Chlamydomonas reinhardtii: one gene and its partner. The protein of the gene in region 1 binds, or shares a complex with, the protein of each later gene. Links are inferred from orthologs where the notes say so. Each region holds a gene or a part of one and is shown in the gene's direction. Other genes may lie near its edges.

The links.
Region 2: CHLRE_03g160450v5 (region 1) and CHLRE_10g427600v5 share a complex: the UniProt entries of both Arabidopsis thaliana proteins name them as parts of the KTN80-KTN1 complex. The link is inferred for Chlamydomonas reinhardtii from reciprocal best matches to the Arabidopsis thaliana genes AT5G23430 and ERH3.

Annotation. Positions count from the first base shown.
Region 1 is NC_057006.1:2,570,394-2,576,187, reverse strand, and holds the end of CHLRE_03g160450v5 (uncharacterized protein), read left to right. Parts: coding exon 1-650; intron 651-880; coding exon 881-1,174; 3' UTR 1,175-1,587; downstream 1,588-5,794. Other genes in the region: CHLRE_03g160400v5 (uncharacterized protein), read right to left, coding at 2,715-2,834, 3,048-3,140, 3,355-3,521, 3,761-3,921, 4,150-4,227, 4,377-4,468, 4,646-4,783, 5,047-5,123 and 2 more. UniProt on the Arabidopsis thaliana protein: May participate in a complex which severs microtubules in an ATP-dependent manner. This activity may promote rapid reorganization of cellular microtubule arrays.
Region 2 is NC_057013.1:1,317,290-1,325,076, reverse strand, and holds CHLRE_10g427600v5 (uncharacterized protein), read left to right. Parts: upstream 1-2,619; 5' UTR 2,620-2,890; coding exon 2,891-3,012; intron 3,013-3,247; coding exon 3,248-3,404; intron 3,405-3,582; coding exon 3,583-3,642; intron 3,643-3,870; coding exon 3,871-4,105; intron 4,106-4,332; coding exon 4,333-4,546; intron 4,547-4,875; coding exon 4,876-4,984; intron 4,985-5,158; coding exon 5,159-5,194; intron 5,195-5,351; coding exon 5,352-5,453; intron 5,454-5,601; coding exon 5,602-5,742; intron 5,743-6,036; coding exon 6,037-6,240; intron 6,241-6,426; coding exon 6,427-6,609; intron 6,610-6,782; coding exon 6,783-6,896; 3' UTR 6,897-7,515; downstream 7,516-7,787. Other genes in the region: CHLRE_10g427650v5 (uncharacterized protein), read right to left, coding at 1-111, 268-437, 568-657, 784-1,029, 1,153-1,401, 1,581-1,736, 1,906-1,994, 2,150-2,237. UniProt on the Arabidopsis thaliana protein: Severs microtubules in vitro in an ATP-dependent manner. Required for oligomerization of functional KTN80-KTN1 complexes that catalyze microtubule severing. This activity may promote rapid reorganization of cellular microtubule arrays.

The DNA of each region.
Region 1 (5,794 bases):
CGGCGTCGGGGCACGCCGCCGGCGCGCGGCCGGGCATGGTGTCGATCGGCGTTGGCGTGGGCGACAGCCTCATGCGCGGGCAGCTGCAGCCAGACGACCTGTCGCGCATGGCTGGCGGAGGCGGAGGCGGCCTGGCGCGGCAGCGGTCGCAGCCGCGGGAGCCCACCATCGAGGTACACGCGCCGGCCGCCCCGCCAGCGTCCCGGTCTGCGGGGTCAGGGCCCGGCTACCGCGGCGCGGGGTCAGGGCCGGACCGCGGCGTGGGCGTCGGAGTGGGGGTTGGTGTGGGCGAGGACCGGGACATGGACCAGCGCTACCCCTGGCAGGGGCCAGGCGGCGCAGCCGCCGGCCCCTCCGGCATGGACCGGCTAGGCGGCGGAGGCGGAGGCGCAGGCGGAGGCGGCTACGCGAGTGTGGTGCCCTCGGACCTGGAGGCGGCGTCTGCGCTGTCGAGCCGGCACGGCATGTTCCTGTCGGCCATGAAGAAGCGCGCCAACACGCTCATGATCATGCGAAACTTTGTGCAGAAGGGCGACTGGCGCAACGCCATCGCCGCGGCGCGGCGGGGCGACGACACGGCGGCCCTGGCGGACCTGCTGTCCGCCATGCACGACCGGCGGGACGTGTTCACGTTGGACCTGGTGGGCGAGGTGAGTTGTGGCAGGCAGCAGATGCAGCAGCCGGGAAGCCGCGTGTTCTGGTACGTTTTAATAGCAGTATCGACGTGGCGGGGCCGATGCCCGGCGCGGCCAGCCGTACCCGGTAAAGGACAAATCAGGGACAAGATGCACGTGCAAGGACCATCAGGACCAACCACACCCAAATTCACGCCACGCGCGCAATGCAGCTCACGCCTTGCCCCCTTCCCCTCCTCCCGCAGGTGATGACGGTGGTGGAGACGGTGCTGTCGCTGCCTTCGGACCGGCAGCAGCAGACGGGGCTGGAAGTGCTGGCGCTGCACATACGCGCCTTTGGGCCCGTCATCCGGGACCTGTGCGGCCCGGGCGCGCGCGGCGTGGGCATAGACCTCAGCTTTGAGGAGCGGCGCGAGCGCGCCGCCAAGGCCAAGCTGGTGCTTCAGAACATGGTGCCACGCCTGAACAGCCTGGCGCGCTCAAGCGAGACGTTGGGCGTGCGCGCGGGCGAGCTGGCAGCACAGCTGGCGCAGCTCTAGCGAGCGCTGGTGCTTGTGGTGCGTGATGGCAGAGAGAACGGAGGAGGAGATGGTGCATCCATGCATGCGCCGCAAGAGTCCCGGGAAAAGCAGGAGGCGTGGAGGTGGCTGGTGTGATGCGTGGTTGGTGGCTGGCGGGGCAGCGGGCCAGCGCGCATTGCACACGGCGACATGGGTGGCCCTGCAGGACGAATGGACGTGATCAGGCCTGCACGCATGGTGTGGGCATGGGCTGTGATTGATGGTTGTGGGCTTGTGGCATGAGACGCAGCTGAACCGGCCTCCTGCCCAACACTGAACACTGAACCAAGTGTAAATGCTTGCCAAGGCACTCAAGGCTGCGTTTGCATTGTGGTCCACGTTTTGGATAGAAGTCCAAACCTGCGCAGAAGTAGCTGTAACCTCCATTGACGTGTATATTTACAGCGCCCCGAGCCCGAGACACAAAGCATGTCCTCCGCATCCATGCACGGCTGGGCTTGAGGTCAGAAGCTTCAGAAGCCTCTCCGTTACTACGGACTGGCAGCAGCTAGCCAGTCTCCTGCCCCCGAGTCGGACTTATTCGCCCTTCGTCCTCGACTCCTCTTCATCTATGGAGCAGAGTCCTTGTGTGTCAATGTACCGAGACTGCTGCCACATCCAGTGTCCACCACCACAGCACTTGACATTAAATGTGCCATACCGTACTGCTCAAAACCTCCTGTTGTGCCCTCCTACCCACATGCTGTAGCGCTGCCGGTGCGGCGGTGCGCCTGCGCCTGCTTAATGCGTATGCCTGCACTACATACATAGTGCATGATCTCATGCCCCAATCGTGTGCGCCTCATCCGTTGCTCAGTACCAGACTATCAGAAGCGTCAGAAGCCTCCGTCACCACAGTCCACGAAAGGCGCCTCAATGGCCTCTTATCGCCTCACACCCGAGTCTACGGCCCAAGGGCCGTCAGACCATGCCCATCTCCATCACTCGCCCGCAAACATCCCGTTCAATACCCGTGCACTTTCGTCACCACCTAGAGCACTTCAGCCCTAGAGCTGCCCCACTTAAGCACGTGCCAAGCATGGATGGGGGGCTTCATTGGCGGGCACGCTTGAAGCCAGCCTCCTCCTCGCGATCGCTGCGTCGCCGTTTTGCGGACCGCAATCCTCCAGCACACAGAACGCGAAATCAGTGCACATGCCATTCCACTAGACATAGCGGACGCAAGGAATCCGCAGCATACAGTACACCGCACACGTGTGCAACGCATCGCCTGTTTCCAGTCCTACAGTACAGATGCACACCGAAAGGATGAGCAGGGCCGAGCCCCCACGCTCGCGCGCACGACATGGGCCGCGTGCTCCCTTCGCCTCCTGCCTAGCGCCAACTCCCGAACCTCCTCTCTACCGTTAACATCCATCCTATAATATCAGTACAGCACCACACCGCCATGCAAGCAGCTGTTCCCCTGCTGCTCTGTTCGCGCCTCTCTGCTAGGTTCCCGGGCTTCAAGCCAATACTGCTCCAAGCGACCGCCTGCCCGCTAGACCCTCGGCTGCTACTAAGTACGGGGTTCAAAGTACAGGACACAGATGGGCACGGTGATGAGGGCCGCAACGAACTGCAGCGGCAGCCCGAACCGCGTGAAGTCCAGGAAGCGGTACCCGCCGGGACCGCTGACCTGCACGAGCACGCAAGAGCACAGGGCGCAGGCTGTCAGGGCAACACACACATTCCAACCTCTCGTGCCACGTGGCCCAGCCGCCCAGCTAACCTATACCACGCAGCTGCGCTCTCGGCCCTCGACCCCCTCTGGTAGCAGCTCTGCGTCTTGCACCCGTGCCTGCACCTGCGCGGCCCCCTGCCACAGCCTTCGGCAACTCAGCAAACGCACCATCAGGTTCGTCTGGTAGCCGATGGGCGTGGAGAAGTCGGACGAGGCGCCGATCATTAGCGCGTAGAGCGGCCCCTTGATGCTCACGCCGGCCTGAAAACGGGAGCCGTAAATCGAAGGCGTCGTCAGCAGTTGATGAGGGAGGGGCAACACACATGGTAAGCAGGAGCCGCTGTGTGTGTGAAGGCGTGCAAACAGCACTCGCAGGGTCACGTAGTGCGGCGCGGCCGCATGAGCAAGAGCTAGCGTGGGCGGGGCTGACCGGGATGCATAAATAAACACGCAACAGCGCACCAGCCCCACGCACCTGCTTTGCAAGGTCGCGGGCGATGGGGTACATGAGTGTCACGGCGGCTCCGTTGCTAAGCAGCGCCGTGAGCAGGCTGGTGGAGGCGTAGATGGCGGCCACAGGCCCGGCGCGGCCCATCCACGAAAACACGTTCAGCAGCGAGCCGGCCAGGCGGTGCGCCAGTCCTGTCAGCACCGGCATGAACAAGGTTTGTGCTGGCATCGACATCGATGCATTGCGTACTGCTTGCACAGATACCTGCTTTGACACGGGGCAAAGAGCGGGCGTCGCTGCAAGCGCGCCGTGATCCATGAGGGCCACGGCAGGCCAGGCCATCGACAGGACCAGCCGGAGAGGCGTTGGGAAGTCGCAAGTGCAGCGGGAGGCAGGCAGGCAAGGCGGCCAGGCGCTGTGATGAGCGCACCTGTCACGGTCATGGCCTTGGCCACGCCGAAGCCGCCCGCGACCGTGAGCAGGATGGACGAGGGAATGGCGGCACGGCACTGCGACACCGTCAGCACGCCGGTGATCAGGTACGCGAACAGGCACACCAGCGCCGTGGTGGACAGCGGCAACACGTCCATGCTGCAGGGGCGGGGGCGGGGGCGGCAAAGCAAGGGGCTGAGCGTCAGCTGTATTGATGGGAGTACCGGTACGGCACACCGCACGGGCAAAGCGGTTATATGGGAGGTGGCGGGCAGGGGCGTGGTCAGGTGCAGAATGCAGAAAACCACTCATGATGTGCGCATTGATTTCGACACAGGCTTCCCGGTCGTAAACATTCCCCTTGACCAGGAGTGCCAGCCACCTTACCTGTTGAGCACGATTAGCGCGATGAAGATGCCCAACGACATGAAGAGCGCTAGCGGGTCGCGACGAGGCAGCGTCACCCTGCGCAGTTACAAAAGCAAAGCCCGGCACACACGGTTCACAATTGGATGAAGAGGACCTCGCAGCAGCGGGGCCACCTAAGGAGCTGCGGCGTCAGCCTGCGCGGTGCCATCTCAGTCGTTCTCCAGAACCATTACTTCTCTGCTCACCGGAAGGCATCCACAGCCAGCGCCCACTCCGTAGAGTGCTTGTACTTTTGGAGGAAGTCCGGCCCCGCCTCCAGCAACATGGTGTCACCACCCTGGGGAGGATTACGCCATCCAAAGGGCGAGCATGGTCTTAGTCACTTGCCCCACTAGCGCCCTGACACGTCAACTGCGCACTGAGCTGCCCTGCACACTGGGGGAGCGCTGGGAGTTTAGGGCAAGTGGGTCGCGCCTATATAAAGCCTTTGTGTACATGCTGGCAGCGCGCGCACCTTCACGACAATGTCTCCGAGGCCACCTGCAATGCGCTCGCCGTTGCGGTGCACCGCCAGCACCACTGCGCCGTAGCGCGAGCGGAAGTGGCTGTCGCGAATGGTCATGTTGCAGATGGGGCTGCTCAGCGACACCACCTGCGGGAGGTGCAGTGCAGCGCGACAAGACACGGTGAGGCGAACGACAGGTGCAAGCACCCTCGCGAGGTCTGGGGCAGTTGGTATATTGCGTCTACAGGCGTTTGACAGCCGTGTGCGTGTATGGTATGTTGTTCGCTCCTGTGGTGCACCACGGGCCGCAGAGCACACGGCTGCTCACCCACCCGCGATGGCCGACTACTGGGAGTCGTGTCCATGCCGTAGCCACACGTACACACGCCCTGCGGCACAACCCCACTCACCGCCTCCACCATGATGCGGTCACTGCTGGGCGAGCCCGCCACCGTCTCCTCCAGGTCCGCCGCAAGGTCCGCCGAGCCTGCACACAGTGGCGGAGGCGGCGCCGACAGGTTATTACAGTACGAGGATTACAGACCCCGCCACGCAGCTCACCAAGGCCTACGCCCTAGACCCATGCAAGTCCCAGGCAGCATTTAGCCGAGGCAACCGCCGCCCACACGACGCCACTCACTGATGGGCGTGAGGCCGGGCAGCGACAGGATGTGCTGCATGCCCTGGATGTCGCCCGCAAAGGTGAGCTTGTCGCCCTGCAGGATGATGGTGGTGGGCGGCGGCGAGGGCACGGTGGCGCCGTCCTGCCGCTGCAGGTCCGCCAGGAACAGCCCGCGCAGGTGGCGCAGGCCCGCCGACTCAATGGTGCGGCCTGCCGGCGGCGCACGAGAGGTTTGCAAGCAAGGTTACTTGTGCCGTTGGGAACAAATGGACAGGTTGGAGGTATCGGCATAGCACGAGTGCTTGCACGTATGATAGTAAAACATAAGCAGGAGCTCCGCACATGCACATCCTGGCGGCTGCCGGATGTGCGCTGCACCCTCGACAGTACGGCACACAGACAGCGCCCCTCACAACCGCCCACCAGATGTGCACGGTGCCGGCAACACAACAGCTCTCACCTATGTGTGCGAAGCGCGCGTCCACGCGCACGCTGACCACGTACTCGCGTGGGTCCGCCACCACGGCGGCCATCAT
Region 2 (7,787 bases), on another chromosome or scaffold:
GTGTCGGGGCCCTTGGACAGCTGTATGGAGCGCTTGAGCACCTCCACGTAGCGCTTGTTGCTCTGCTGCGCCGCCTCCGCCTCCACCAGGCGCCCCTCCAGGCTGACAGCCCTGCATATACGGTACATTGAAGGCGCGCAGGCCTTGGGTCAGATGACAGCTGGGAGGCAGCGTAGCAGCCCCGGCCGACTCGACACAGCGAGAAGGAGGCACTAGAGCGCATGGGTGCCCACTGGCGGCACACCATCTCATCACGCGAGCGCTCACCTAGCGTTGGCCTCCTGCGCCTCCCGCTGCGCGCCCGCAACCTGCGCCCGCAGCCCTTCCAACTGCTGCTGCAACTCTGTGCTGCTGGGGCCGGGCTGCAGCGCCGCGTGCGCCCGCTGCGCCCGCAGGAAGCGGTCCTCGAAGTTCCGACGCTCCTGGTCCAGGCTTATCTGTGGTTGGGTGTGTGAATGTACTCAGCGCAACTAATATCAAGGCAACTCAAAGAGGCCCCGTAAAGTCACGCGCATGTGGCCCTTTGCAAGACCGCTGCATCATGGCTGCTTTGGCTATGACTCTTACGTTCTTCTGCCTCAGGGAATGCAGCGTCTTGTGCAGCTCTGACCGCTCCTCCACAGCCTTGTCCAGCTGCCGCCGCAGGTGGTCCAGCGTCTGGAGGGCCAGGGTTGAAAGAGTGTGAACAGTGTGTCGGAACACTAGCACACGGACAGTTCTTATCATGCCACAAACCTCAACATACATCTTGAAGCACTCTCGCCGGCTGCCGCAATGACTCACCAGCTCCATCTCCCTGTCCCGGCGCTGCAGGCGAGCCACCTCTGGGTCCGGCGAGGTCGGGCTGCGGCTCCCGGCGCCCGCTGACTGTGATTGGGATTGCGACTGAAACGAGGTGCCCTCCCGCGGCGACACGGCCGCCTGATCCTCCCGCCGTGCCGCGGCCGCCGCCTGCTCACGCGCCGCTGCCAGCTCCCGCTTCAGCTTGTCGTTGGCTAGCCGCAGCCGTGACATATCAGCCTCCAGTCGCTGCGGTACACGCGCCAATGTGGATCAGCAAACAGCAACCAACATAACCCGGTAGCAGCAACTGTGCATTCAGTTGACCAGACATAAGGCCTGTGGGCTCTACTACCGGCCATCCTTGCACACCTGCATCATGTCAGAAGGGTCATCATGAAAGCGGTCGTAGGTGGGCGCCACCACGCGGCGCGCGCCGCCGGGGCCCACGGCGCCGGCCGCCGCGCCGCCGCCGCTGTTGCCACTGGTAGAGCCTCCCCGCCGCACCGTCACCTCCTTGCTGCCACCGGGTAACAGCGCGTTCAGGCGCAGCTGCGTGGATTTGAGGTCGCGCTTTAAGGTGGATAGCTTCTCCTCGTAGCTGTGCTTCTGGGCCAGCAGCTGCGTGCGGCAATGCAAAGTTGTGGGCGCAGCAAAGGGCACAAGATTAGCCACGTGCAAACACATATATCAAGCAGTTCGCCGCGACGAAGGTACTAGGGCCATGGACTCGTAGAGGTTGGCTTCGCCAGCCCAGACCCTGTAACACCCAGCGATATACACGCTGGCCACGCTCGCACCTTGCCCTCGTATTCCTGGTTCTTAGCCTGCAGCTTCCGAATGGCCTCCTCCTGGCTCTCCAGCTTCTTCTGCGCCACGTTGGCCGCCACGCGCTCCTTGTTTGCCTGGTCGCGCAGCTCCTCCCGGGCGCCGCGGTCATTGGATTGCTGCTGTGCCTGTGCGTGCGAAAAATGCGGCAGGGGAGTCAGCTAGCGCCGGCTTGCGCTTTCCCCTGCGGTCCAGCACGGTCCACCACAGCGCAACCTGCCACCGGCCGTTTAGCGCATTTATGTAGCGCTGTGCAAGCCCCTGCTCCTCGTATCCGCCCTTCCTCCGGCCACTCACCATCTGGAACAGCAGGTCGATGACAAACTGTGCCTGGCTGGTGGAGGGGCTGAGCACATTAAGAACCTCGCTGCCCACATAGCCTTGGCCTGCGACACGCAGTGGTTGGGGGGAGGCAGGACTGGCGTGGTTGGTCAAAGTCCCTGAGAAGCGCGCAGGGCGCCTGTTTCTCTTATGTTCCCGGTTGCATCGCCAGCGCGGTCGAGTTGCTGTCGGGCCCAGGTGTCAACCATGTGGCCCGCACCTTTCAAGTACGCCTCGAGGCGATACGTCTGCTCAAGGATAGACTCCTCTGACGGCCCCGAGCTCGCAACATCCATAAAATGCTCCATCTGAGAGCTGGCGAGAGCGCGTAAACCAAGTTGACGTCGCTCCCCCCGAGCTAGCGCACTCTCCTTCCAGTCCCTAACGTGAGCCCACAACGCCCCACGGGTTTGATAGCATCTTCATTGGAATCGATATGATATGTGCAAGCTCAACCGGCTCGTTTGGAGGGCACGGTCCTATTCCAGACTACAAAAGCTTGCGAGTTGCAACAAGCAGCAGTGTGGATGCGTGGAAACTTTATTGCATCATTATCCATGATTATACGAGATTTACGTTTGCTATTTGCCTAGTTCTGCTGTCTGCCGAATTTGCGATGGGGCATCCCAAATTGGAACCAGTTCCCTAGCCTCAGCTCGCCCCAAACCAGCCCTTTCACGCGCTAGAGTTGCTCCAGATATAAAAGACGACAAAAGCTACCTTCTGGCACTTAAACTTGCTTGCTTTAGAGCACAGGGGCGAAGCAAAGCAGCCTGTGAGCCCTCCAAGCGCCGTTGACATGTGCGAATTGTATAATTGACACACAACGCGACCTTGACAATCTGACATACTGCGACTAGCGTGCCTGCTTTGTGGGGTCTGGCAATTGCCGAGCTGCGCCAGTGCTTGCAAGGCACCTGCTTCTTGCCTTGAGCGGGCAACTTGAGGCGCGTGCGTGGAGATGGGGGGCGCGGACGTGCAGGCGATCACCATCGCCGTGACGACGGGGAGAGACTGCGCCATGAGCGGGGATTACTCCGCGGGGTGCACGTACTATGAGAACGCCGTGGAGCTCATCACTCGGTAAGCAGCTCTATACCGGTGGTGTGTCTGTCATGGGCGCCGGGGCAGACTGCACGCAGTTGGACAGGGGGCGGCGGTGGGCGCACCTGATGACAGCCAGCTGCCAGCCGCGGCTCCACGCGACTCACGGCACACGCGAGTGCCCCCAACCCTCGCACACGCACACGCACACATACACATGCACGTGCGTAACTACAGCAACATATACGCGCATACACATGCAAATAACACACAGGTACGTCCGCACGCTGGGTGACCCACACGCTATCCGGCAATGGAGCGCGCTGCTCAAGGAGGTGCAAGATGAGCACAGCAGCGTACGGCAGTGCGACAAGGAGGCACGGGGCATGCGCGTGTACGACAGCGTCGCGCGGTCCAACAGCTACCCCGAGGTGGGTGGGCTGTGGGAGAGTGTGTGGTGTGGGCGGGCTGTGGCACATGGCAGGCTCTGGCACGCTCGGGTCCTGATCGGGGCTGGACGTCATGGATGTCAGCTCATGTGTAAGCATTTGAATGTGTGCCAGCACTTGACTACCAGTGTACGGCAAATACTGTGCCCTGGAATCGCAGATGAACGACCCTCGTGGCTCGGCGGCCTACGATGACGGCTACCGGCAACCCATTGTTGTGGTGGGTGCCGGAGCGCGTATGGTGGCGTACGCGTTGAATACTTTTTGGGCTGCTAACCTGCTGTGGTTGGTTGCTGTGCCGAGTGCCGACCTGATCTGTCCGGCGCCGAAGACTCTCTTATCACCCAAATTCCCAACGTTTCTTACACCGCCAAGTTTAGCTGCCCCACGAACTAAGTTGTTCGGGTATAACCGAACGATTCGCTTGCGCCCTGTCATCGCGCTGCAGTGCCACAACTCGGGCCAGGAGGACCCCATGGTGTGGCGGCCGCCCACACGCGGCGAGGGCCGCAGCGGCGCGCCCGCCCGCGGCGCGCCGCCTCCCCGCGCACGCTCCAGCCAGGATGACAACAAGCTGCCCTCCTGGGCTAACAACAACAACGGCGGCGGCGGCGGTCCGCCCGCCAGAGGCAACGCGGCGGGGCCGTCGGGGCGCGCCGGCTCGGCGCCACGGCGACCGACAGGTCGGCGCGGGGTTGCGGGAGTGGGCCATGCATGATGCCTGTGTGGGCCTTGAAGAAGGCATGCAGGGTGGCAGGCCAAGTGTACCTGGATATGCAACGGGATGAATCCGGCTGTGGTGGAGCGCAGGTCGGGGCGCACATGAGGACTGTCGGACCAAAGCCCCATCCTCAACATTGCTGGTCGAAACTGTTGGTCGCCCCGCACCTCCCCGCTACCTGCCGTGCAGGCAACGCGCCGGCAGGGAACGCTGCCGCAGGCGGCAGTTATGACAGGCCCTGGCGCCAGAACATGCAGGGGAAGCAGGGCGCGGCGGGGCCAGGCGGCAAGCCTGGCGACAAGGGCAGCGCGGGCGAGAAGGCCAAGAAGCAGTACTCGGGTCCGGACCAGGAGCTGGCAGCCATGCTGGAGCGAGACATCGTGGACCAGGGAACCAGCGTCAAGTGGGTTCAAGCATTTGTTTGTGGGCTCTTAGTGCGCATTCATGTGATGGGGATGTAGCAGATGTGTCATGGGGCGCTGGTCGGGCGTCGATAAGTTTATACGGCTTGCGTGTTGCTTGCTGTGCGCGGTATTCAGCCGTGCCCAGGGCCGTTGTGTTTGGGTGCTCGATGGGATGTGGTGCCGCCTCGCTCGCAAACCTCCCCACGGTCCACTCGCTGCCGCCCCGGCGCTGCTGTGGCCCCACGTCGCGCACGTGCACACATGCGCGTGTTCTGTCCTGCGTGTTTCCTTCCCGGGCGCTTTCTAACACGTGCGCGTGCGCATACAGGTGGGACGACATTGCGGGTCTGGAGGAGGCCAAGCGCGTGTTGAACGAGGCGCTGGTGCTGCCCATGATCATGCCCGACTTCTTCACTGGCATCAGGAGGCCCGTCAAGGTAGGGCTGGCGCTTGAGGCTTAAATGGGATGGGCAGCTAGGGTGGGCAGTCGTTGGGCTTTACATGTCACATGTGCCGATGTGTGGGTTGGGTCGCATGGCACTGGAGGCACTTATGGGGCGTTTGAGGTGCTGAGTTGAGACGTCGCTCCTGCGCCTTGGTGCGGCTTGCAGGGTGTGCTGCTGTTCGGCCCGCCCGGGACCGGCAAGGTGAGCGCGGGCGCCCCACAATGTCATGTACTCGTGCATTCAAGGACCACAGTCGTTCTCAACCTCGCTCACGTGCGCACCCGGTGACCCATCATCCATCATGTCCCATCCCGGCCAACCACTTTGTATCCCCGCGACATTTGTATCCCCGCGACAGACCATGCTCGCCAAGGCCGCCGCGACGGAGACGTCGTGCACCTTCTTCAACGTCTCCTCCGCCACGCTGGCGTCCAAGTACCGTGGCGAGAGCGAGCGCATGGTGGGGCTGGCGGGTGGCTATAGGGTTGGTGTTGTGTCTGGGGCGACAGATGGGCTTGGTGCTGGGGACCGGCGCTTTGCGGCTCGACACCTCTGCCCATGAGCCCATGCACCCATCTGCCCCTCCATGTCTTCCCTCGCGAGCCCAGGTGCGCATCTTGTTTGAGATGGCCCGCGACCTGGCCCCCTCCATGATCTTCATCGACGAGGTCGACTCGCTCTGCTCCCAGCGCGGCACCGCCAATGAGCACGAGGCCAGCCGCCGCGTCAAGACGGAGCTGCTCACGCAGGTGGGCGCCTGCTGGGGGATGGCGGTGGTGGGGGGGGTTAGGGGTGGCGGGGTTGTTGGTGGTGGGCATGTGCTGGCACAAGAGAGTGTCTGGTGTTTAGGGGCCGTGGCCAGCGGCGGCTGGCTGCTGCGATGCGGCATCCGGGCATGTGCCTCGATGGCATGGGCATAAGGTAGAGGACAGGCGGCAGGTTCATGGTCGTCAGTATCGGGTATGACAAGTGGTAGACAGGCAACGGGTGGGCGACAACCTCGCCTCTTACTGCTGCGCTCACCAACCTCAATGTCTCCTCAGGTGGACGGCGTGCACGGCAGCGAAAAGGACAAGGAGCCGGGTCCCGACGGCGAGCCGCCGGCTCCCAAGCACGTGTTCGTGCTGGCAGCCACCAACTTCCCCTGGGACATCGATGAGGCGCTGCGGCGCCGCCTGGAGAAGCGCGTGTACATCCCGCTGCCGGGGCAGGCGCAGCGGCTGCAGCTACTCAAGATCAACCTGCGGGTGGGTGGCGGGCATTGTAGAATGGGCTGGGTTGGTTTGATTGTGCCTGGGCTGGTCGTGTGGCTTTTGCGCACGGCCCTACGCCAGTGCGAGCCCCCACCTGTCATACGTGCCCTTGTGCACTCCGCAATCGCAAATCGCACACCACGCAACATACCCACCAAAATAACATACCCACACCCACAGGACGTGGCAGTGGCACCGGACGTGAACCTGGAGGCGGTGGCGGGCCAGATGGACGGCTACAGCGGCGACGACATCACCAACGTGTGCCGCGACGCCGCCATGAACGGCATGCGGCGACTGGTGGCGGGCAAGACGCCGGCGGAGATTAAGGCGCTGCGCGAGGCGGGCATGACGGGCGGCCAGGTGCGAGGTGCCAGCCTGCCGAGCTGGGCTGGGTGGGTAGGCGGTTGGGCCAGGGGCGCTATCCGAATGCCGTACGTACAGTATGTCGAGTGTGTGTGCACCTGCTGCAAAACGTACAATAGGTGCTGCAAGTTCGCTGAGCTCCGGATGCCTTTACGAACTCCCATGAACAGGAGCCCATCACGTCCGACGACTTCCGCGAGGCACTGCGCAAGATCAACCCGTCCGTGTCCAAGGAGGACATCAAGCGGCACGAGGAGTGGCTCAGCGTGTTCGGCAGCACCTAGCCTGGCGCCTTTGCGCCGCTTCGTGCTTGTGTGTGTCCTGCCAGTTTAAAAGCATGGGTGTGCATGGGTGGCGTGGCAGGGCGTGGCGGGGTGGAGTTCATGGCCCGTCCGGCGTATGCCTGTGTGGTGTGGCACCAGGCTCGCAGGTAACGGTGTCATGCCAGTAAGGGCTGGGCACACTTGGCGTGACACAACAGCAGGTGGCGACTGAATGACGGCAGGCTGGTGCATAGGGCATGTGCGCGCTGCACTTGCGTGAGCGGTGTGTGCGGTGTGGGTTCAGAACGAATGTTGAGTCTGCTACGGTAGTCGTGCCGGGTGGATGCTGCATCGTGCGTGGATTTGAAGCTTGGGCGTCCGAAATCTCGCGAAGGTTGTCAAGGGAGGACGTCGGGAGGGGGGGTGGACGCCTACACAGAGCAGCGGGACGCCTTGGGGGCGGGGCACCCTTCCGACGGCAGCGATGGGCTCTACCTGGCTCTACCGTACTATGGTGCACTAGGCACAGGGAATGGAGAGCCGGACGGGATACCAGTCTAACAATTCTGCCTGAAGCAAATCGAGTGAGGGAGCAGTCGGGCTCGTGGAGAAAGCTTGAGGGCGAGGGTATAAATGGTCCAGGCCGGGGTCCCCTGTTGTGCGCCATGATCTCGACGCATCGGTCAAAATGCTGACACTCTTTTGATTTCGGTGGCTGTAAGCAGTAATACATGTAGTCTATTATCATGAGACGGAGACAGTCAAGCAATAGCTCGCTTCGGCTAGGCACACTTCGGAGATGCGGACTTTGTTTGCTCGCTGTGATTTTCGCTATCGTCCTTACGTTTCTTGGAATCCAATTGCTTCGCAAACAGTTTGAGTCCAAATCGACGCTGAAGGACGCATGCTTAC